Tamandua tetradactyla: one gene and its partners. The protein of the gene in region 1 interacts with the protein of each later gene in a pairwise test. Links are inferred from orthologs where the notes say so. Each region holds a gene or a part of one and is shown on either strand. Other genes may lie near its edges. The genes, in order: AP4B1, ZNF576 and TEPSIN.

The links.
Region 2: the proteins of AP4B1 (region 1) and ZNF576 interact in binary tests that used the Homo sapiens proteins (3 or more experiments, as listed by UniProt). The two-hybrid records come from large-scale screens. The link is inferred for Tamandua tetradactyla from reciprocal best matches to the Homo sapiens genes AP4B1 and ZNF576.
Region 3: the proteins of AP4B1 (region 1) and TEPSIN interact in binary tests that used the Homo sapiens proteins (3 or more experiments, as listed by UniProt). The link is inferred for Tamandua tetradactyla from reciprocal best matches to the Homo sapiens genes AP4B1 and TEPSIN.

What each region holds. Positions count from the first base shown.
Region 1 is NC_135337.1:7,778,384-7,785,690, reverse strand, and holds the start of AP4B1 (AP-4 complex subunit beta-1), read right to left. Parts: upstream 3,103-7,307; 5' UTR 2,983-3,102; intron 2,942-2,982; exon of another isoform or gene 2,725-2,941; intron 2,647-2,724; 5' UTR 2,570-2,646; coding exon 2,457-2,569; intron 210-2,456; coding exon 1-209. Other genes in the region: DCLRE1B (5' exonuclease Apollo), read left to right, coding at 3,424-3,612, 4,303-4,468, 4,825-5,007.
Region 2 is NC_135342.1:21,196,100-21,203,448, forward strand, and holds the start of ZNF576 (zinc finger protein 576), read right to left. Parts: upstream 3,084-7,349; 5' UTR 2,918-3,083; coding exon 2,893-2,917; intron 2,663-2,892; coding exon 2,561-2,662; intron 968-2,560; coding exon 483-967; 3' UTR 1-482. Other genes in the region: IRGQ (immunity-related GTPase family Q protein), read left to right, coding at 3,695-3,812, 4,003-4,534. UniProt on the Homo sapiens protein: May be involved in transcriptional regulation.
Region 3 is NC_135332.1:73,513,916-73,521,260, forward strand, and holds the start of TEPSIN (AP-4 complex accessory subunit tepsin), read right to left. Parts: upstream 3,026-7,345; 5' UTR 2,970-3,025; coding exon of another isoform or gene 2,814-2,969; 5' UTR 2,549-2,813; coding exon 2,501-2,548; intron 1,559-2,500; coding exon 1,486-1,558; coding exon of another isoform or gene 1,456-1,485; intron 1,143-1,455; coding exon 1,051-1,142; intron 852-1,050; coding exon 758-851; intron 1-757. Other genes in the region: NDUFAF8 (NADH dehydrogenase [ubiquinone] 1 alpha subcomplex assembly factor 8), read left to right, coding at 2,814-2,969, 3,087-3,197, 3,915-3,962, 5,368-5,409. UniProt on the Homo sapiens protein: Associates with the adapter-like complex 4 (AP-4) and may therefore play a role in vesicular trafficking of proteins at the trans-Golgi network.

The DNA of each region.
Region 1 (7,307 bases):
TCCGCAGAGCCAGCCCTCGCACCATTGGGTTGGGGTCCGAGCAGTCTTTACACAGTGTATTAATGGCAAGCAGAGCCAGATCTGGTTTCAGGGGGGCATATGTGCACATGTACAGATAAACCAACTTCTTCTGAACAATATCAACAGTGGCACTGGCCTTCACCATTTCCATGAAAACACCCGACATATCCAAGCCCTGAGTCATGTGCCTGCAACACATGGCAAGAAGTAAAATTAAACCTATAATAGAGAGGGTTTTACTTATACATGTCTTGGTAATAACAAACACTTATTGAACCCTTAGTACATTCCAGTGAGATTCAGCTTTTACATTCCAGGGGTATGCTCTGGGCACATAATCTTGAAGAAGGCATGGTCTCAGACCTCTAGGAATTCAAATGTAGTAAGGAGGCAGAAAAGAACACCAGTAATTTCAATGCAACATGATAAATATTATAATAGAAGTAATGTACAAGGTGCAGTGGGAATCCAGAGGTCTCACAATGTTGGCAAGTCAGAAGGCTTTCTTCACGGAGGAAGTAATACTTTAATTAACAAGCAGGAACTCACCAGGCAGAGATAATAGACAGGTGATGATACATGCTATGAGGCACGTAAACATGGGCAAGAATGGCACATTCTTTTGAGAGTTGGCAGGAAGTTGAGGTAACATTCAAGGTAGGGTGTTCCTTGGGTGCTATGGTAAGTTTTGATTTTATTCCATAGATCACTATTTCTCAAACTATGGTTTCCTATGAGAATCAGCAGAGATGTTTGTTAAAAATTCAGATTCCGGGGTTCCACCTGAGCCTACTAAGTTCAGAATCTCTGGAGATCTTTGGAGTAGATGAAAAATATACATTTTTTAAAAGCACCCTAAGGGGAAAATTCAACTTCCCCCAGTTGAATTCATAATATTCCCATAAACAGTGCAGACAACCAAAGCAATAGGCTGAGCCCCCAATCTTCGGGTTTGTTCATATGAAACTTAACCCCACAAAGGATAGGTCAAGCCTACTTAAAATTAGGCCTAAGAGTCACCCCCAAGAGAACTTCTTTTGTTGCTCAGATGTGGCCTCTGTCTCCAGCCAACATGACAAGCAAACTCACTGCCCTCCCCCTGTCTATGTAGGACATGACTCCCAGGGGTGTGGACCTCCCAGGCAACGTGGGACAGAAATCTAGAATGAGTTGGGACTCAGTACCAAGGAATCGAGAAAATCTTCTCGATCGAAAGGGGGAAGAACCAAATGAGACAAAGTGTTAATGGATGAGAGATTCCAAACAGAGTGGAGAGTTTTTCCTGGAGGTTATTCTTATGCATTAAATAGACATCACCTTTTTAGTTAAGGTGTAATGGAGAGGCTGGAGGGAACTGCCTGAAAATGTAGAGCTGTGTTCCAGTAGCCATATTTCTTGATGATGATTGAATAATGAATGATGTGTCTGATGCTCCTTTTATCTACCTTATCAACAGATGAGTAAAGCATATGGAATAAAAATAAATAATAGGGGGAACAAATGTTAAAATAAACTTAGATTGAAATGCTAGTGATCAATGAAAGGGAGGGGTAAGGGGTATGGTATGTATGAATATTTTTTGTTTTCTTTTTATTTCTTTTTCTGAATTGATGCAAATGTTCTAAGAAATGATCATGATGATGAATATGCAACTATTTGATGATATTGTGAATTATATATGTAGAACGGAACGAACATAAGTTAAGAATGTTTGCATTTGTTGTTATATTTTTAAAAAAATTTTTAACATTAATAAAAAAAAATTTTTTTAAAAAGGCATCTCAAGGGACTTTTGTCCATACTAAATTTTGAGACCTCTGTGAGCAACAGAGTTAATGTGTTCAGATTTACATATTGGAAAAAAACATTGACTGAAATAAGGAGCAAGGTGCCTTACCAGTAAGCTATTGCAATTGCTTTGGTAATGAGGGCCTGAGTGCCAATAAAAAAGGGAGAATGGACATTTAGAACTATGAATCCCTACCATATGGCATGAGAAGTGAACGACTAGGTGTCATAAAGGTTGACTCCCATTTTTCTTCATGGCTTGGTCGACTGGGTGGTGACATTCATCAACACAAATACAAGTGGAAGAGCAGGTTGAGGTAAGCGAGAAGGATGTAAGTGCTATTTGGAGCATGTGTTTAATCTCCACGTGGACTTGTGGTCTGAAGCTAAGAAAAGAGGTCTGCGGTAGATCTATTATAGATCCGGGAATCATCGGTGTAAGCTGAATTGTTCAAGCCCGTGATGGGGTGAAACCTCCCATCTGAATAAAAGAAGTCCCATAAAGGAGAGTGAGCTCACACTCCCGAAAAGCAGGATGAGACCCAAATCTTAGAACGGCCATATACGAAAGTTCATTTCCTCTTTCCGAGTGGCTCGGGTTAGAGATTGCAGTGGGGGATTTGGGCTTTTGAGGGATTGGGTGATACCTAATGAGTCGTTGGATGACATTCCGGTAGCGCAGCCTATCCGCCTGAATGTGAGGGTTACACAGAGCCTTCTTCAGCTCCTTCACTACGTCCTCCGAGCCGAGGTACGGCATCTTGTGGAAGAGTCACGGAGCAGTTCCCACAGGTCCCACCCAGGTAAACCGTGTTTCTAGCTCTTTGATGTAAGAACCTGCGTAAAGGAAATGTCAGTTAGTGAAAAGATAAGAGCGTGACCCCACCCCAGCCCGGGCTTTCCAGGGCCGGAAACCTGGCTTTCGGACACTCAGTCTTCGACCTTCCCCTTTCCCCGGTTAACCTGATCATAGGGCCTTCAGGCCCTTACCCCGAACGCCCAAATAGCGCTCCAGCTCCCACAGTCTCCAGGCCCTCCGCCCGACTCCCAACCTCCAAGTCGCCGGCTTTTCTCGCGCTTCCGCGCGCTTGCCAGCACGGATAAGCCCAGCACGGCCTTCTCCGGAAGTCCCGCCCCCTGGTCGAGAGTCCAAACACAGCAGCTGCCACTCACCTTCTCCCAGCCAGCGGCCGAGGGGAGCCCGGACCCTGCTCTCAGGGCTCCTTTCTGCCACCCTCTCACCTTAAGCGCAAACGCGCCCCTCTCTGGTGGAGCTGCTGCGGGCAATCGGAAATCAGCTACTTCGGCCTGTCTCGCCTATAAGCGCGCGCTTTGAGCGCCCGGCTGGTCCCGGCTCCCGCGCGCGGGTGGGAGTGACGCTGTGCCGAGCGTCTTCCGCGATCCGGGATCCCACTCTCAGCCTCCCGCCAACGCTTTCACTTCCTTCTCTGTGCCCACTCCAGTAACTTATTCCTCTTCTGGTTGGATTTCCCGTAGGATTCCTGGCCCTGTTCTTAACCTGACATGACTCTTTTCGGGACGCGGTTGGGGAAGTCTCACTCAGCAGCCCAGTCCCCGTGAAGATCCCACTGGTGACTCTCCAACCCCGCGGCCATGAACGGGGCCCTGATCCCCCATACGCCCATTGCTGTGGACTTTTGGAGCCTGCGCCGGGCTGGTTCCGCGCGGCTCTTTTTCTTGTCCCACATGCACTCGGACCACACCGTGGGTCTGTCCAGCACTTGGGCCCGTCCCCTCTACTGCTCCCCAGTCACTGCCTACCTCTTGCATCGTCACCTACAGGTATGGGGGTGGTGGCGGGGGGCTGGAGTGGGCCTCCAGAGAGCTGAGCTGGGCATCTGAGTGGGTACTCCAAGCTCAAGGGAAGAAACTGGGGGAGAGGAGCTGTCACAACCATGGAGTCTAAGAGATGGAGAGTTAGGAGGATTCATTTTCCAAATTTGGGAGTTGTTTGGACCCACAAATGCATCTTTAGCCTAGTATAGGGGTGTGGCTTCCAGTTGGCCAACCTGGCATGTTTCACATATAATTAGAGAAATCTTCTAGTCCAGCCCGGAAAATGAGGTAACCTAATTCCTTATCTTTTCGCATAAGCTAGGATGTTCCCCAAACTCACCTCATTGTAAGAGTCCATCTGTTATGCTAGCTAAATATACAAATTCTCCAGCTCTGTCATTTATCCACCTGAATCGCCAGGAAAATTTGGCTGAAATTTTTAAACAAGTGCCCCCAAAGGGTTATTATGCTCAGAAAAGTTTGTGAATCACCTTACTAAACTGTTTTGTGGACAGTGGGTGGAGTGCTGAGAGGGAGGGGCCAGGGTGGATTGTTAGGGGATCCCCATTATAGCTTCTGCTTCAGGGGAGCTCAGAATTTGCCCAGCTTTCTGATTTGGGAAAGTGATAGTCCCTGATCCAGGGAGGTATCAGGGAGGGGACTTTGTTGTTGTTGGATGACCAGCTGTTTCCTCAGGTATCTAAGTTGTGGATACGAGCCCTGGAGGTTGGTGAGAGCCACGTACTGCCCCTAGATGAACTTGGAAGACAGACCATGACTGTAACCCTCATCGATGCCAATCACTGTCCTGGCTCTGTCATGTTCCTCTTTGAAGGGTACTTTGGAACCATCCTCTACACAGGTGGGCCTCCTAAGGGGTCATTTCCATCTTCTCAGACTCTCCTCTTTAGCAACCTTTACTCCTAATAGAAGTCTGGCAGCCTTCTAGCTTCATTCCATATGAGCACAATGACCCTTTGAATCATATCCTACTCTTTGAAGAGCCCCAGCCTTATGTAGAGTAACTGAAAAGTAAGAGCAAAATGAGGACATTTCTACAAAGATGCTATGCTACATACATCCAGTGCCAGACCATATGATAGTTTTTTCATGGGCCAGTAAGCAAATTTCCATCTGTTGTTGGGGGTAGGGGAGGCTTCTATTTTTTTGCTTCTGACATTCTGCCCACCTCCCACCCCCCTTATATTCTTCTTCCAGGTGATTTTCGATATACACCAGCCATGCTGAAGGAGCCAGCTCTGCGACCGGGGAAGCAGATCCATACCTTATACCTAGACAACACCAATTGCAACCCAGCCTTGGTTCTTCCTTCCCAACAAGAAGCTACCCGCCAGATTGTCAATCTCATTCGAAAGCACCCACAGCATAATATAAAGATTGGTGAGTAGTTTCCTTTTTCTCACCCATAGCTAGTGAATGTAGGTTCTTTGACAGTTCTCAATCTGTCAAGTCCCTGTACAAATCTCCCCTTGTTCATGAAACCTGCCCTGACTACCTTATTTAAAATCACGACATGCCTACCACCCCCTCCATATTCCCGACTCCTGATTCCCTATACCAATTCTACTTTCTCTTTTTTTATAGTACTCGCCACATTCCAATGTGCTCTATGCATTTTTTTTCATTTTTTTTATTTTTTATTAATTAAAAAAATTAACAAACAAAACATTAAGATATCATTCCATTCTACATATACAATCAGTAATTCTTAATATCATCACATAGTTGCATATTCATCATTTCTTAGAACATTTGCATCGATTTAGAAAAAGAAATAAAGACAACAGAAAAAGAAATGAAATGATAACAGAGAAAAAAAAGATTATACATACCATACCCCTTACCCCTCGCTTTCATTTACCACTAGCATTTCAAACTAAATTTATTTTAACATTTGTTTCCCCTATTATTTATTTTTATTCCATATGTTCTACTCTTCTGTTGATATAGTAGCTAAAAGGAGCATCAGACACAAGGTTTTCACATTCACAGAGTCTCATTGTGAAAGCTATATCATTTTTCAATCATCATCAAGAAACATGGCTACTGGAACACAGCTCCACATTTTCAGGCAGTTCCCTCCAGCCTCTCTGCTACATCTTGAACAACAAGGTGATATTGACTTAATGCATAAGAATAACCTCCAGGATAACCTCTCAACTCTGTTTGGAATCTCTCAGCCATTGACACTTAGTCTCCTTTCACTCTTCCCCCTTTGGGCGAGAAGGTTCTCTCAATCCCTTGATGTTAATTCTCAGTTCATTCTAAGGTTTTTCTCAGTCCCTTGATGCTGAGTCTCAGCTCATTCCAGGATCTCTGTCCCACGTTGCCAGGAAGGTCCACACCCCTGGGAGTCATGTCCCACACAGAGAAGGGGAAGGTGGTGAGACTGCTCGTCATGTGGGCTGGAGAAAGAGGCCACATCTGAGCAACAAAAGAGGCTCTCTTGGGGGTGACTCTTAGGCCTAAATTTTAAGTAGACTTGACATATCCTTTGTGGGGTTAAGTTTCATATGAACAACCCCCAAGACTGGGGGCTCAGCCTATAGCTTTGGTTGTCCACACTGCTTGTGAGAATATCAGGAATTCAACTAGGGAAAGTTGAATTTCTCCCCACTCTCACCATTCCCCAAAGGGGGCTTGCAAACACTTTTCTAGTCACTGATCAAATCACTCTGGAATTCATCGGGGCATCACTTTGGACAAACTAACAAAATCTCATGTCCTACCTGAGATTCCAAGTACTTATGACATTCAATCAAACTATCTACATGAGTTATATTAGGAAATGCTCTAGTCAAAATATAAATTTTGTAACAAATAAACATTTTTTGCTTTAGTCTCACACATTAGTTGAAATTTTAAACTACTAAGTACCATCTATTTTCAGCACACTGCAGTAATGACATTCCTTTGTTCTTCCTCATGCAAAAACATTTTTAAAATTTGTACATTGTACATTTCACTATTATTATACATGCTAGGCATTCCTAGATTATACCATCTTGATCTTTACCATCTATCTTTCTTTCTGATTTCATTTATGTCCCCAGCGCTCCTCCCTCTATCATTCTCACATTCAGCTTCATTCAGTGTTTTAACATAATTACATTACAGTTAGGTAGTATTGTGCTGTCCATTTCTGAGTTTTTATATTCAGTCCTATTGCACAATCTGTATCCCTTCAGCTCCAGTTACCCAATATCTCACCCTATTTCTATCTCCTGATGGTCTCTGTTACCAAGGAAATATTCCAAGTTTATTCACTAATGTCAGTTCATATCAGTGAGACCATACAGTATTTCTCCTTTTGTTCCTGGCTAATCACACTCAGCATAATGTCCTTAAGGTCCATTCATGTTGTTACATACTTCATAACTTTATTCTGTCTTACAGCTGCATAATATTCCATCTTATGTAAATGTCACAGATTGTTTAGTCAGCTGTCTGTTGATGGACATTTTGGCTGTTTCCATCTCTTGGTAATTCTTAATAATGCTGCTATAAACATTGATGTGTAAAATGTCCATTTGTGTCCTTGGCCTCATGTCCTTTGAGTAGAGACAGCATATAGATGGGTCCTGTTTTTTTGATCCATTCTGCCAGACTATGTCTTTTGATTGGAGAGTTTAATCCATTAACATTCAGTGTTATTACTGCATGGGTAGTAGTTTCTTCTG
Region 2 (7,349 bases), on another chromosome or scaffold:
CATGCCTAGAATAGTATGCAAAATTATTCAAATGGTACATAAATTATGAGAGGGATTGATGCCATCCAATGGGGTGGCCCCTCCTTGAGAAGGAAGAGCCAGAGACTCAGCTTGCAGCCCCCGTGTGACTCAGAGTCCAGCTTCCTGCTCTGCTGCCCCAGCCCCAAAGGCCCAAGTTGCTCTGCATTAGAAACACTGCAGTCTTGCAAGTCAGCCACACCTCATCTTCCCTGTAGCCCATTAAAGCACAAATGCAGTGCCCTTTGCTCCAAAAGCCCATGGCACACATCTGGGAAGCATGAAAGGTTATTATATAATCTGCAGCAAGCTGGGATTTAAAGCTATTTAATTGGAATGAGGGGAATACAAATAACATTTTTGATTGAAAACAAAAGATCTCACTGTTAGGCTGATTTCACTCTTTCCCTAAAGGTCTCCATATTCTCCAAAGACTGAAGCCCCAAATGAATATCTTTCGGGTCCTATTTATCAGAAGCCCTTTGCCTTCCTGGGGAGGGAAGCAAATCTCTCCAAGGCCCCCAGAGCTCCCCTCGGGCGTGCTGGATGTAGTGGTGGTGCAGCCTGGCTTCCCAGACAAAGTCCTGACCACACTCGGTGCAGGCAAAGGGGCCAGAAGCTGTGCGGGCCTCGTGGGCCTGGCGATGCCGCCTCAGAGAAGAGGCCCACCCAAAAGTCTTGCCACAGTCAGGACAGGGGAAGGGGGGCTGGGGAGTCGTGGGTGCAGTCGGTGGGGAGGACCTGGTGGCGGGACCATGGTTGCGCTGATGGACGATCAGGGCCTTGGAGGAGGGGAAGGAGCGGGAGCAGATGAAGCAGATGAAAAGGGCCCCCTGCAGCTTCTGGGCCACAAAGTCCGCTGGGTGCTCCCGCTTCATGTGTCGCTCCTGGAACTTGGAATCGATGAAGGTGATGAGGCAGTGCGTACACTGCAGGGCCCCTGGATGGCCTGAAGGATGGGGAAAATGTCAGGAGAAGCCAGCAGGAGGCTCCAGGACCTCTCCTGATCCCCGAAATCAGGCCAACAATAGCACCAAGTACTCACTCTAGGCCAGGCTCTATGCCTGTGCTGGACAGAGTTATGAGGGAACTATTATTAAACCTGTTTTATAGATGAGCAGACTGAGGCTCAAAAAGTGAAGCAACATCCAGTAGAGCCAGGATGGAACCCAGGGAGTGATGGGCAGCAGCAGTGTGGTGGTAGAGGCCAATCTCCACAGCCAGTCTACCTGGGATTGAATCCTGGCTCCATCACTTCCTAGACATTGGTTCCCCCCTCTGGAAAAAGAGGTAATAACAGTATCACCTCATAGGGTTGTTGGGAGGGATAAATGGGTTATTTTCTTTCAAGTACCTGGAAAATATATATGTGCTATACAGCGGTCTGCAGTTATTACTACTGAGAAAAGCAGCCTGACATCCCAGAGCTGGTCTGGAACCCATAGCTAAGTCTCAGTGTTCTGTTGAACATATACAATTTCAACAGAACATGAACATCAGACAAGACCATGCAGAGACCTTGAAGAATCAAGACAAAAAACGAGACCATGCTAAAGTCATGTCTGAACACAACAAAAACATGAATCTTGTCCAAATCACAAAAATGACCCAAGATCCCCCTATCCCGGCTAATGGGAGTGACTGCTGCTGCTTTAACAATCACAGCTTCAGCCTCACTTTGTTCCTTCTTCCCAGATAAGATGTATTAAGATGTCTAATCAGAGAATGGCCCCTGCTTTCTGACAGCATCCAATCCACAACAAAACTCTGCTTCCTTGAACCCTCCCCAAACCTGCCTAACACAAACCCTAATCCTATAGTAAGTCCTTTTTTATACCCTCTGAGACCACCCACAGCTCCCCCTGGTGTGTGTTCTCCCTTGCGGTATTCAACTACAGGTGTGTTCCTGGTGGGTGGTCTTGGGCTGGAGGGCACTGACATTACTGCTCTCATGCTTATTAATCCTTAATCTCTCTCTGCCTCAGTTCTCTCATCTGTAAAGTGATAATACCAATTTCATTAGGTTTGTTTGGAGGACTTAATGAGATAGTGTTAAACTCAGAGTGCTGTCTGGCACATAAGTATTCAGTAGAAGTGCTTGCTATTAAGTCAAACGGCTATCGTTGTTAACATCCAACTTTCTCTTTTTCTGCAGCAAATTCCCCCCAACAGCTCTGTGAGATGGGTAACGGCAGCTCCTTTTGACAGCTAGGGTAATGGAGGCCCAATCACACAGCAAGTCCAGGACAGAGTTGTGGCCAGAACCTCAGGCCTTCTCTCTCAATCTGCCCTTTCCCATCTATATCTCCCACCCCATGCCTGTCCTGGATGTTAACGTCTGCCTCTGAACCACATCCCATTCCTGTTTCTGTGGCAGGAGCAGGGTGGGTGTACCTGAGGGTAGTGAGGGTGGGGAGAGGCAGTTCCTGTTAGGCAGTTCAGGGAGGGACCACATCCCACACAGCCTTGAACACTGAAATGCTGTAGAGATCCTTTTAGCATCAGTTCCTGTTCCCCACCCTCTCTGGCTAGAAGTACTCACAGATGTCACCTCCCGGGCTGCGGGAACTCCTCTCTTTTGACGAGTCCTGTTGCTCCATGGTCTTTTGTGGGTGCAGGTCCTCCATGGAGACTTGAGACTCCTCTAGTCGATAGAGGAGTATGAATGACAGAATAGTAAATCAAGTGAGGCAGCTCATCTGTCATCAGCCTCAGTCAGAGGGCCCGCTAATCCTGTGACCTCTGACCGCAACAGAGACTCTCCATGCCAACCTTTGACCCCCATGACATGCCATCTCCTTGAACTCTAACCTGATGAAAACTTCCCAAAGGATTCCACTCCCCAAGTTCGTGACTCCCCTATAGCCTTCTCACCTGTGTGACCTATGACATCCTGCATGGTTCTAACTCTGAATTCAGAGCGTGGGACCCTTGATTTCTGACACCAGCAAGTCCCTCCGATCCCCGTCTCTCCCACCTGTCGTAGGTCTGGTACGTGAACTCTGGTCCCACCCTTTAGCCCGCCTCTTCCCGGGAGACCTCCTCCTCTGGCATCCTGTGACTACTTCTACCTTCCACGCACGCCTTCACCCGCTCCGTGTCCCTGTGTCCCAAGCACTGCCCACGGTTCCCTGCTCCCGACTTCCGGAGCCCTCTGACTTTCTCCCTACAGCACAAGGCTGCCTTTGGCTGCGCCTACCAGTCGTTCACCACAGTTGCCGCGCCTTTCCGCCCCGTGAGCCCCTGGAAGCCGAAATCCCAGATTACCACCGGGCAGCGGCGTAGCCGCGCCAACGCAGGGCTCCGAATGCGGGAGGGGTCCTTCTCCGGCAGGGGGAGCGTTATGATGACGTCGCAAGACGCCATTGCCGTACAAACTTAAGCTTTTTGCGTACGGATGGTTAGGCGCTCGCGGTACGCAGGCGCTTTGGCACCTTCATTGTTCCCCGCCCAGATGTTCCAATCCAAGCTTTCGAGTCACGCCTCTTCCTCCAGGGACTGATATCAAAACCCCTGGATCGGGTCCCGACGTCCCCAAATCCGAGCGCTCTGGTCTCTCCGTCCTCCGTCTCCCGGAGCACAGGAGCCGGGCTTCTTAGGGCCTGACCCGGCCACCACGAACTGCGCTCGCCCGTGTGTCGACAGCTCGGTTAGTGATTTGGAAGTGCTCCGGGAAATGGTGGTGGTGGGGGGTGGGGGTGGGGAAGTAAAATACTCAATATCGCCGAGGGAGAAGGGGACTCGAGCCCGCGTTTCTCGAATTTTTGAAGCAAACGCTTGCGTCCGGAAAGATGGTAAGCAGGATGCCTGCGTACCTGGGGAGTTCGGCCTGGCGCCTGGGTTTCTGGATCCTGGGGAATGACATTGAGGAATGGGAGGAGGGGTCGGGGCGGAGGACTGATTCTGGGTACGGAGTGGGGAGACTAGGAAAGAAAAGGGCTGGGGAAATTCCCTGATCGGGGTCTTTCCCATCTTGCTTTCCAGCCATGCCTTCATCACGGGGTGACGTTACTGCTTTGTTTCTGGGGCCCCCGGGCTCCGGAAAGTCTGCGCTGATCACAGCGCTGTGCGACAAGGATGTGGAGACACTCGAAACCACCGAGGAAAGGCCGGAGACTGGGGTCCCCATCCTTCGGGCTGCCGGCCCAGGCCTCTTCCTGGGCGAGCTGAGCTGCCCACCCGCAGCGCCGGGAGCGTGGGCTGCAGAGGCCAACGTGCTGGTACTGGTGCTGCCCGGACCCGAGGGGAACAGGGAGATCTTGGCGCCAGCGCTGGGAGAGGCGGCGCGTGATGCCTTGGCCCGGGGGACTCCGCTGCTGGCTGTGCGGACCCTCCAGCCCGGGGATTCACAGAATGAGTCCCGGGCCCGGGATGAGACAGAGGCCTTGCTGGACAGCGCAGGATTGGGAGCCGCGACTCTCTTCGTGGTGCCAACCCGCTGCGGCAGCGGTGACCGCTGCGAAGAGCTGGAGCGCCTGCGGGCGGTGCTGGAGAGCCAAGCGGAAGCTCTGCAGAGGTGAGTGCGAGAACTAAGGGTGGGGGTGGGGAAAAGGGCCCTTAAAGTGCTTGTTGAAGTCTGCGAGGACTCAGCTCCAGTGAATTTTGGGCAAGCTGTAAGTCCCATCCTTCAACACAGGTTTTGAGGTCAGCAAGGCCCCACTCCAGGCCAGGGCTTTGTGCTTGGCCCTTTTCTGTCATCTGCGCTCCACCCCCAACTAAGGGTCAGCTCCTGGTCCTGGCCTGTGCCCACTTGCTGGCTACCTGCTGCTGAATTTTTTCCCCAAGCCCCATACACCTCATTTTATAGACAATCAGAACTCTCAGAGAGGTAGCTTCTTGTCCAGATCTAATGCTTAACTTTTTTCCTTATTCTCACCCACCCAATGTTGCCTTAGCCACACGTCCCAGGTAGGAACTAGTAGATGAAGCTTCTCCCCTCACTGGTTGTCCTCTTTCCCGGCCTCAGGACAGAGCACTCTTTGGGACCTTTTCCATGTCAAATAGTGCTGCAGTACAGGCCCAAGTACAATCCCAATTCTCTTTTTTGCTCCAAGCCCACGCCCTGTGAGCTTTGCCTCATATAAGCCCTGCCTCCAAATTCCATATACCCGATAGTTTTTTTTCTCAATGTTTTTATTGACAAATCTTCACACATGTACAGTCCATACATGGTATGCACTCAGTGGCTCACAGTATCATTGTATAATTGTGTATTCATCACCATGATCATTTTAGAACATTTGCATCACTCCAGAAAAAGAAAAAATTCATACATCCCATATCCTTACCCCTCCCTTTCATTGGCCACTAGTATTTCAATCTACCCAATTTATTTTACCCTGTATGCCCCCCTTTTATTTTTTATCCATATTTTTTTACTCATCTGTCCATACCCTTGATAAAAGGAGCATCAGATACAAGATTTCCACAATAACACAGTCAGTTGTACAAGCTATATCATTATACAATTGTCTTCAAGTATCAAGGCTACTGGAACACAACTCAAAAGTTGTTTCAGGTACTTCACTCCAGCCACTCCAATACAACATAAACTAGAAAGGGATATCTGTATAATGTCTAAGAATAACTTCCAGGATAACCTCTTGACTGTGTTTGGAATCTCTCAGCCACTGAAACTTTATTTTGTCTCATTTCTCTCTTCCCCCTTTTGGTCAAGAAGGCTTTCTCAATCCCATGATGCTGCATCCCGGCTCATCTCGGGAGTTCTGTCCCACGTTGCCAGGGAGATTCACACCCCTGGAAGTCATGTCTGACATAACATGGAGGGCAGTGAGTTCACCTGCCAAGTTGGCTTAGAGCAAGAGGTCACATCTGAGCAAGAAAAGAGGTTCTGTAGGGATTACTCTTAGACATAATTAGAAGTAGGCTTAGCCTATTCTTTGCAGGAATAAGTTTCATAGGGGCAAACCCCAAGATCAATGACTCAGCCTATTGATTTTGTTGTCCCTACTGTTTAAGAAAATATCAGGAATTCCCCAGATGGGGAAGTTGTATATTTCCTCCTTTCTCCCCAGTCCCCCAAGGGGACTTTGCAAATACTTCTTTACTTGCTGTCTAAATTCCTCTGGGATATACTGGGGCATCAGACTTATCTGAACAAACCAACAAGATCTCACACCCTGTTCAAGATTCCATGTACTAAATTTAAAAAATGTTTTTGCATGAGGAAGAACAAAGGAATGTCATTACTTCCGGGTGCTGGAAATAGATGGTAATCAATATTTTAAAATTTTACCTTATGTGTGAGACTAAAGCAAAAAATGTTTATTTGGTACAAAATTTATATTTTGACTAGTGCATTTCCTAATATAACTTACGTAGACAGCTTAATTGAACACCATAAGTACATGGAACCTTGAGTAGGGCATGAGATTTTGTTGGTTTGTCCAGAGTGATGCTCCAATAAATCCTAGAGTGATTTGAACAGTGAATAAAAAAGTATTTGCAAAGTCCCCTTCAGGGAATGGTGAGAAAGGGGGAAAATTCAACTTCCCCAAGTGGAGAATTCTTGATATTCTCACAGGCAGTGGGGACAGCAAAGCAATAGGCTGAGCCTCCAATTTTGGGATTTGTTCATATGAAACTTAACCCCACAAAGGATAGGTCAAGCCTACTTAAAATTAGGCCTAAGAGTCACCCCCAGGAGAACTTCTTTTGTTGCTCAGATGTGCCCCCTCTCTCCAGCCAACACAACAAGCAAACTCACCACCCTCCCCGTCTGCGTGGTACATGACTCCCAGGGGTGTAGACCTTCCTGGCAACGTGGGACAGAAATCCTGGAATGAGCTCAGACTCAGCATCAGGGGATTGAGAAAATCTTCTCGACCAAAAGGGGGAAGAGTGAAATGAGACAAAATAAAATGTCAATGGCTGAGAGATTCCAAATAGAGTCGAGAGGTTATTCTACGCATTAAATAGATATCACCTTGTTAGTCAAGATGTAGTGGAGAGGCTGGAGGGAACTGCCTGAAAATGTAGAGCTGTGTTCCAGTAGCCATGTTTCTTGAAGATGATTGTATAATGATAATAGCATTCATAATGAGACTGTGTGATTGTGAAAACCTTGTGTCTGATGCTCCTTTTATCTACCTTATCAACAGACGAGTAAAACGTGGAATAAAGATGAATAATAGGGGAAACAAATGTTAAAATAAATTTAGATTGAAATGCTAGTGATCAATGAAAGGGAGGGTTAAGGGGTATGGTATGTATGAATTTTTTTCTGTTTTCTTTTTACTTCTTTTTCTGAATAGATGCAAATGTTCCAAGAAATGATCATGATGATGAATATGCAACTATGTGATGATGTG
Region 3 (7,345 bases), on another chromosome or scaffold:
GATTCCAGGCCATACTGCACCAGCTCCATATTGGTGAAAGACAACTGACTGCAGTGGCCTGGGTGGGGAAGGGAGTCAGGGAAGAGGGAAGACCCACGTATTACTCAGGATCAAGACAGGCCGGGAGCCCCCTTTACTGACGGCCTCCCTGTCATGTCCTCCCACAGTCTTTTGGGAAGTGGAAGCTTGTGAGCACCCTTTGTTTGGGACTCTGGGAGCAGCCCTGGAAGAAGCGTGAACCCACGACGGGGAGGTGAGCCGGGAGGAGGTGTGGAGGGCAGGTGTGTCCTTGCTGCCCGGCCAGACGCTCACCAAGGTGCCCGCATGGGTCTGGCCCTGGGGATCGGGGGGAAGGCTGGTGCCTTGACTGGCCTAGGAAGGCGTGAACAGAGAAAGGAATGATCCTGCTACAGCGAGGCCAGTGCCTGTACAGATGCAAACAGAAGGAACAGCGACCCCACGGGGAGAGGCGGGCAGGGAAAGGTCAGAGAGATTGGGAAGAGAGACACCGCGCTGGCCGCCGGGAAGGATGAGTTTGGCAGGTGAAGAGCAGAGGATGGGCTGCAGGACAGACGTCTGTGCACGGACAGCATGAGGAACAGCAGGGGCTGAGCACCAGTGAGACAGGCACAGGACCAGGCCCCCGCGAAGGGAGCTTGGCAGAAGTCTTCCCCATTGAGACCACAGTGACTTGACGTCTCTGCCCACATCTGGGGTTCCCCAGTGCTCCCCAAGAGGGCGTGTGGAGCCCCAGTACCTGCGGCTTCTTGGATGAGGGCAGAATTGCGTTGGAGGATAAGCAGGAAGGAGGAGGAGCCGTGGCTGCACAGGTAGAGCAGGATCTTCAGTACCTGGGGGGATCAGGACAGGCAGAGGTTGGGTGGGGTGCATTCCTAGGACACTCAGGTGCAGGGCCCAGCAGCCAGCCCCGCCCTGCCATAGCCCATATGCCTTTCGTTCTAAGGTACACACCTGGGGCCCTGACTTGTCCCATCCTGAGAAGGACCTGGGACAGTTGTAGACCCACACCACTGTCACCCACCAACTCACCTTGAGCTTCACGTGGCCAGAGCCATTCTGCAGCCGGCTCAACAGGTACTCCAGGAGGCACTGGCTGCTGCCCAGGGACTCATGGGAGATTTCTGGGGCACGTGGTTAGGGAAGGAGCAAGCTGACCCTGGGGCCCACTGGTGGATGTGAGGAAATGGGATTTCCCACTGCCATCTGCTTGGCTTTGTGTGTCCAACATGCACGCTAAGGGACCTACTGCAGGCTGTGGCCTCAGTCCAAAGGCTACGTTTGGGTCTCCGGTGTCTCCAGGCCTCAGTGAGCAGTGATGCCATTTTTTACCATGCCTGCACCTGGTTGCCATGGAAACAGAGCCCGTGGAACCCAGCTGGGAGAAGAGAACCCCAGCAGCTCCCTGTGCCGCTCAGGGCCCCACCATCTGCTCACCCAGCCCCTGGGGATGCCGAGGAAGGATACTAGCAATCTCCTCAAACAGGTATCCGGGACATGGAGCATCATCGTCCGACGTCCCTTTCAGGAGAACTGGGAGCTGGAAGGGAACAAGGGTCCCCAGCCCTAGTGAGCAGAACCACGTCCATGGGGGTGAGCCCACCGCCTCTGAGGAGACAGAAATGCCAAGGCAGCAGCCAGCAGAACAGCCTCAGTGCCCTGAGGGCCCCTGGTTTCTGGGCTTACCAATGGCTTCTCCAGTTGGACAGCTGCTCTGTTCCCTACTAAGATGGGTGAGCCACCTTAAAGGCGGCTTTAACACACAGATCTATTAGACTAGGAAAGCATACCAGCGTGGAGAGCCCCCTTCCCAGGCAGGGGAACTGCAAACGATTCCACCTTGCCAGCGCCAAGACCAGCAATGCGAGACAGTTCAGAAGGAACACCTTGTGGCCCTATTTATTACCCGGAACGGGGAACCGGCCCTGCAGACATGACCACCGAAACAGGAGCGCATTCATGTTGCGTATTTTTTTACAAGCACAAACATTTATGCAACGTGCTTAGATCCTGGCACAAGCACACACTGTGCGTAGGAACAGAGGTGGAAACAGCCATTCTCCCGTTCAGCATCTGGATCAAGCAAGCCTGAACACGAACGCCCACCGGGAGGGCGTGGGGGGTGATCGGGGGCCCGGGTCTGTCAGGCCTGCACACGGTCCCACCCAAGGGAGAAGGGGGGGAGGGGAGCCCTGGGCGGGGAAGGGGGCTGCGCGCCCGCTCCCCGCACTCCCGCGCGGCCGGAGGGGGTCTGGGGCGGTCCGGCAGCGAGTTGGGACTCGCGGTGACCCCTTCCTGGTGAAGGATCGGACACGGGGGTCCACAGCTCGCTTCTGAAGGGGCCCAGCTCACTCCCGTGAGAATGAAGCCCGCACCCGGGCGACCTGTCCAGTCGGACCGGCCCGTGGGCGCCAGGTGGGGCAGAGGACGGGGGCCGGCGGGGAGGCGGGCTGGGGCCGGGGCTCGAGACGCCCTCACTCACCCGGTGCAAGAAGCTCAGACGGTCGCGCAGCAGCGGCGCAGCCGCCATGATCCCGGTCACCCTTCCGACCCACCCTCGCTTCCGCCAGGCTCCAGGCTTTCTCCAATCACCGCGCGCGCTCTACAAACGCTGGCCAATCGCTCTGGTCGGGGCGGGCCCTGGGCGCGTCTCCGGTAAACAATGTGAGCCCGAGCCAATCCAAAGCCCCAGAGTAGAAACCGGCAGTGGCAAGAGCCAATCGCAAGACTCTGGGAGGCCAGCGGCCTGGTCAAATAGAAAGCCCAGGAGAGGTTATAGGCGTGGAAGTAAACCTATGAAGCTCTTGGGTGCCGGAAGAGGATGGACCCAGCGTGGCGGCTCCCTTGGGTGCCGGAAGAAGTCACTCATGTCAACGAACGGAGCGCTCTGGAGTCGTGTGCGGAGCCGACTCCGCGCCTTCCCCGACCACCTGACGACCTGCGGGGCAGAGGTGAGGAGCCGGAGAGCTGGGGGAGCGCGGAGCGGGGAGCGGGGACCCAGAGGGCCGCGGAGGCGGTGGGGCGGGGGTCGGAGGGCCGCGGCGACCCGCGCGCGTTCCCTTCGCCAGGCTGCGGCGTACGGCAGGTGCGTGCAGGCCTCCACCGCCCCGGGCGGCCGCCTGAGGAAGGACCTCTGCGCCCAGGAGTTCGAGGCCCTGCGGAGCTGTTTCGCCGCCGCGGTAGGTGGGCGTCAGACTGGGGACGCGAGCGCGAACGTTTGGGCGAAAGGCCCGCTTTCCCTTTTTCTTTGGTGTCTGAACGCCTACGGGGGGCCTTACGCGCTGGGCGACCCGATCGACCCACAAAAAGCCTACGAAATCCCTGCTGTCCTGGAGTCTTTACCTGTTTTTAAAGTGGGTGTGACACACCAGCCCGGAAGACGCGATGCAGAGCGCTGATACGACCCTGATGCGTGTAAAAGTGCTTTATAAATCCCAAAACGCTAACAGAAACCGTAGCATCAGTGTCAGCTCTCACGGGGCCGATGCCAGTGTGAACCCCAGCGGGCAGGTTTGTCACCCAAGCTTTCCATTGCGTCTTAAACTTGGCCAGTGCTCTTGCCCAGTGTGGGGATGGTGGGTCTGTAATTAGAACCGGATCTACTGGATTGATCCAGTGGACACGTGCCCTAGCTACTGCACATAGCCTAGGAGAGTCCACCACAGATAAGTTCATTCTGGTGTGCAGCAGACTGAGAAGCCAAGCTGCATTCCTCTAGGCGAGCCTCACTAGCCTGATTCTTACCAGAAGGAATGGCAGCTGGCTGTAGTGGGAAGAGTCCATTTTCTGGGTGCTGGACTTAGTTCTTAAGCCTCTGATCTCTTGGTATGACCCTGATACATGAACCTGTCCCTTCCATTTCCGAGCTTGGCATTTTCCAATCCTTGTCCAACCAGATGCTGTGCCAGGGAAAGCCTCGTGAAAATTGCCAAGTACCGTATATGGTAAAGGATTACAACATTGTGTCTGTGTATTTGCATGAAGGATTGGGAGGAAGAAGGAAGGGTCTGAGGGGACTGGCAGAGAGACCCAAGCAGGGGTGGTCCCTGGGGAAGCCTGATGGAGCTGCCCTCCTCAATGGTGTCCCAGGACCTGCGAGAATCTGCTGCTGAGGCCTTCACCAGGGCCTTAGGCACTGTTCTGGGGCTGCTTCTCAGGTCAGCGTCACTGGGAGTCACGTCAGCCCCCTGATTCAGTTAGTCCCGGGTGGGCTGTGATGCTAGTCATCAGCTCTGATCAGCGGGAGCTGCTGGTCCAGATGTGGTACTTGGATAAAAGCTCAGTGAATTCGCTGAATCCAAGGCAGCCTTTCTTGATGTCCCAAGACCATACAGAGCAGAAAGGACTGGGAGAAGGCAGGATCACCCACACTGGGAAGCCTTCCAGAAGGCTCAGAACTCATACTTTCTGGCGATGGTTATGTCTCAGAAACTCCAGCTCCCTTCCTCCCCCAGCTGACTCCTCCTTACCTTGCGGAGGTTATTCAGCAGTGTGGGTCGCACGTTCTTGCTCTTTTCCACCTGCTTCCCTCCTGTGGCAGCCTCTGCTTTATGGCCTTCTGAGGGGAAGGGCGCTGAGGCCACCTGCACTCTGCTTGAGTAGTGGCTCTTGTGGGAGGTTCCGTATGGGAACCACAGGTCCCATGCTCCTAGCCACATGCAGATTGGGGAGTTAACTGTCCAGAGCTGTAGCCATCTGTGCCCCACCCCCTCACTGCCCTGGCCTTGCCCTATTTGTTAGTTCCTGATTCCCGTAAGGATCTCCCGACAGCACATTGCAGGCCCGTCACCCAGAGAATCCCCTTGTTTCAGTCAAACGTGCTGTTTGCAACTTCAAAGAAGACCTGCCTGCAGGCTTGGATTTGGGGGGGAACTTGAGTTTGCTGACATGGAAACTTGCTGCTGAGCCATTCTTGTGCCTGTTTTCCCTGTAGTCGCAGGGGCTGAAGGAAGCTGCAGGGGCTCCGGGTTCCCATTCCAGCCCTGCTCCTGAGCCACACCCTGGGGCCCATCATCTTAGCATAGCTTAGCCCACATTTTCCCCTGCCACCTCCTTTAACTGTGTGAGGACCGTACATGGTGCATGTTGGGGGTGTCTGGTACGGGCGGGGGGCCCTCATGGTCGGGCAACAACCAAGGTCCACACTTGGCCTGAGCCCTCTGACCCTTGAGGCTATATCCCAGACCCAGTCTCAGGGGCACTGCCCCACAGCCGCCAAGCCACGGCCACATAGACGGCCCGGGCGCCCTGTATCTGGGGCAAGCTGACATCTGGTGTGGCAGTTCCCTTCCTGTTGCCCTGGGTCTGACTTGAAAACAACCCACTCAGACAAAACACTTGATTTTCCAGGTCAAGAAGGCCCTGAAGGGAGGCCGACAGGGGGGCCCCTGAGCCCCTGAGCCCCTGGCTGTCATGGCCGGGCACCAGCCTTCGCCTCAAAGCCCGGCTTGGGTGAACCGATGGCACCAGGTGGCACCCTCCAAAAGCTCCTAGGACTAAAGAGGCCACTGGGGCTCAGGTGCTGCGTGTTTGGGCATCTTCTTTCTCCTCAGCAAGGTGGGCCGTAGCCGGAGTTGGGACTTGTTAGCCAATTTTGTGTACGTTAAGAACTTGGGTTGGGATAAGCATGATTGAGCTAAAAATAAAGACTCTGTTAAGTCCCTTACAGCTTCTCTTTTATCGTCTGTGGAGGGTGTGGGACTTGTGGCCTCCTGGGACCACCACCAAGGGCCCCAGCCCACACACCCTGTGGGCAGTAGATGTGGGAACACATTCCAAGAAAGTCTGAAGATTACTCCATCTGAGTCTAATGAAGCCTCCAGCCCTGACTACCGTTTTACATGGTACACCTGAGATAAAATTACAAGCGACACCTTGTAGTTAACTTGACAAATCCCTACTACAGGGAATCTACAGAGGTGGTCCCACTTGGAGAAAGGTCGGCTCCCACGTGGCGCCGGGAGCCCCAAGTTCCTGACCGCCGTCTCAGGATCCCTCTGCTCCCCATCTGCTCAGGCCATGTGCGAACAAGAAACTGAGAAAAGCTGCCCCCAAGACTACTGAGCGGCCAGAACCCAGGGAGGGCCGTGCGCGCCACCTGCTGGACACCTTGGGCACTGCGCCAAGGGTCTGGCCCTCACTCCAGGCGAGGTCACACTGTCCTTGGGTAGCCAGCACTCTGGCTGAGCCTGTTGAGGAGGTGGGGGTGGCCCCTGTCAGCACACCCCCCTCTTAGAAATCTCTCCCAATCAGCCCAGTGCTTTCTTAGGTGCTGGAAACTCACATCTCTTGATGGGTGGGACAATCTCAAGACCCTGAAGCTTCCAGGGTGCTTTGGAGCAGAAGCCGGTCACTGCTGAGAACCTCGGAGGGTTCTGCCCCGTCAGAAACGTGCCCCCCCATTTCACAAGAACTGCAGGAAACCAGACCTACAGGCATCTAATGTGCCCCTGGGGGTGGTACCAGCAACAGCCAGCTCCCTCCCACCCCACAGCTATGAGACACTGAGGTGCAGCTGGGGCCCGAGGGGGGCAAGGCTGGGCAAGGGAACGCACCTCAACCCCACCCCTCTGGTTGAGTTTCTCCCCACACGCTCCGCTGCTCCAACTGGTTGCAACTCGCTTTCTTCACTTTGTCCCGACCTTAACCTTCATGGTCAGAGGTCACAACCAGCCCTTAAGCCTTCTCCTGTGTCCTCTGACGAACTCCAGAAGGGTTTCAGGTATGTCCCCCCACAAAGATTTCCATGTCTGGCTCTGCAGGATACACTGTTCCCAGGCCCCCCTCAAGTGTCTTCTTACCAGGCACCCCCACTGCCATCCTTCAAACCCCGGTCCGTGCTGCCGAGTGAACCTGACCGCACCACGGCCGGGCCGCAGCTCCATACCCGTTTCCTTCTGACCTTCCTCAGCCCCTGTCCTCTGGTCCACCCCAAACTCGCTCCACCTCCAACAGGGTGCTTATTCGAGAGGTGGCCTGGTGCTGCCTACACCATCAGCAGCGCAGTCAAGATCCAAGCTGGCAGACCAGGGTGTGCTGTGAACTGCTCCAGGCTCTAGAGCCACGCCTGCAGTTCTCTGAGGACTGAGGCCCATTTTATCCTCACCCTCAAGCCACTGGAGGCTCTCCAGCAGCTGAGATGGCTGAGCTGCTTCTGTCCTCAGCTGAGGGTCTTTCCTGCCCTGGTCTGGGCTGGGTGGAAGCATGCACCGCTTCCCCAGCAGGCCCAGTGCATCCAGGCATCTCACCCCTGCTTGAAGCTCGCCTGGTCGCAGGCCTCTCCCGGCCACCCTGCCCATTTAGAGCCCCCTCTAGGACTGTGACCCAT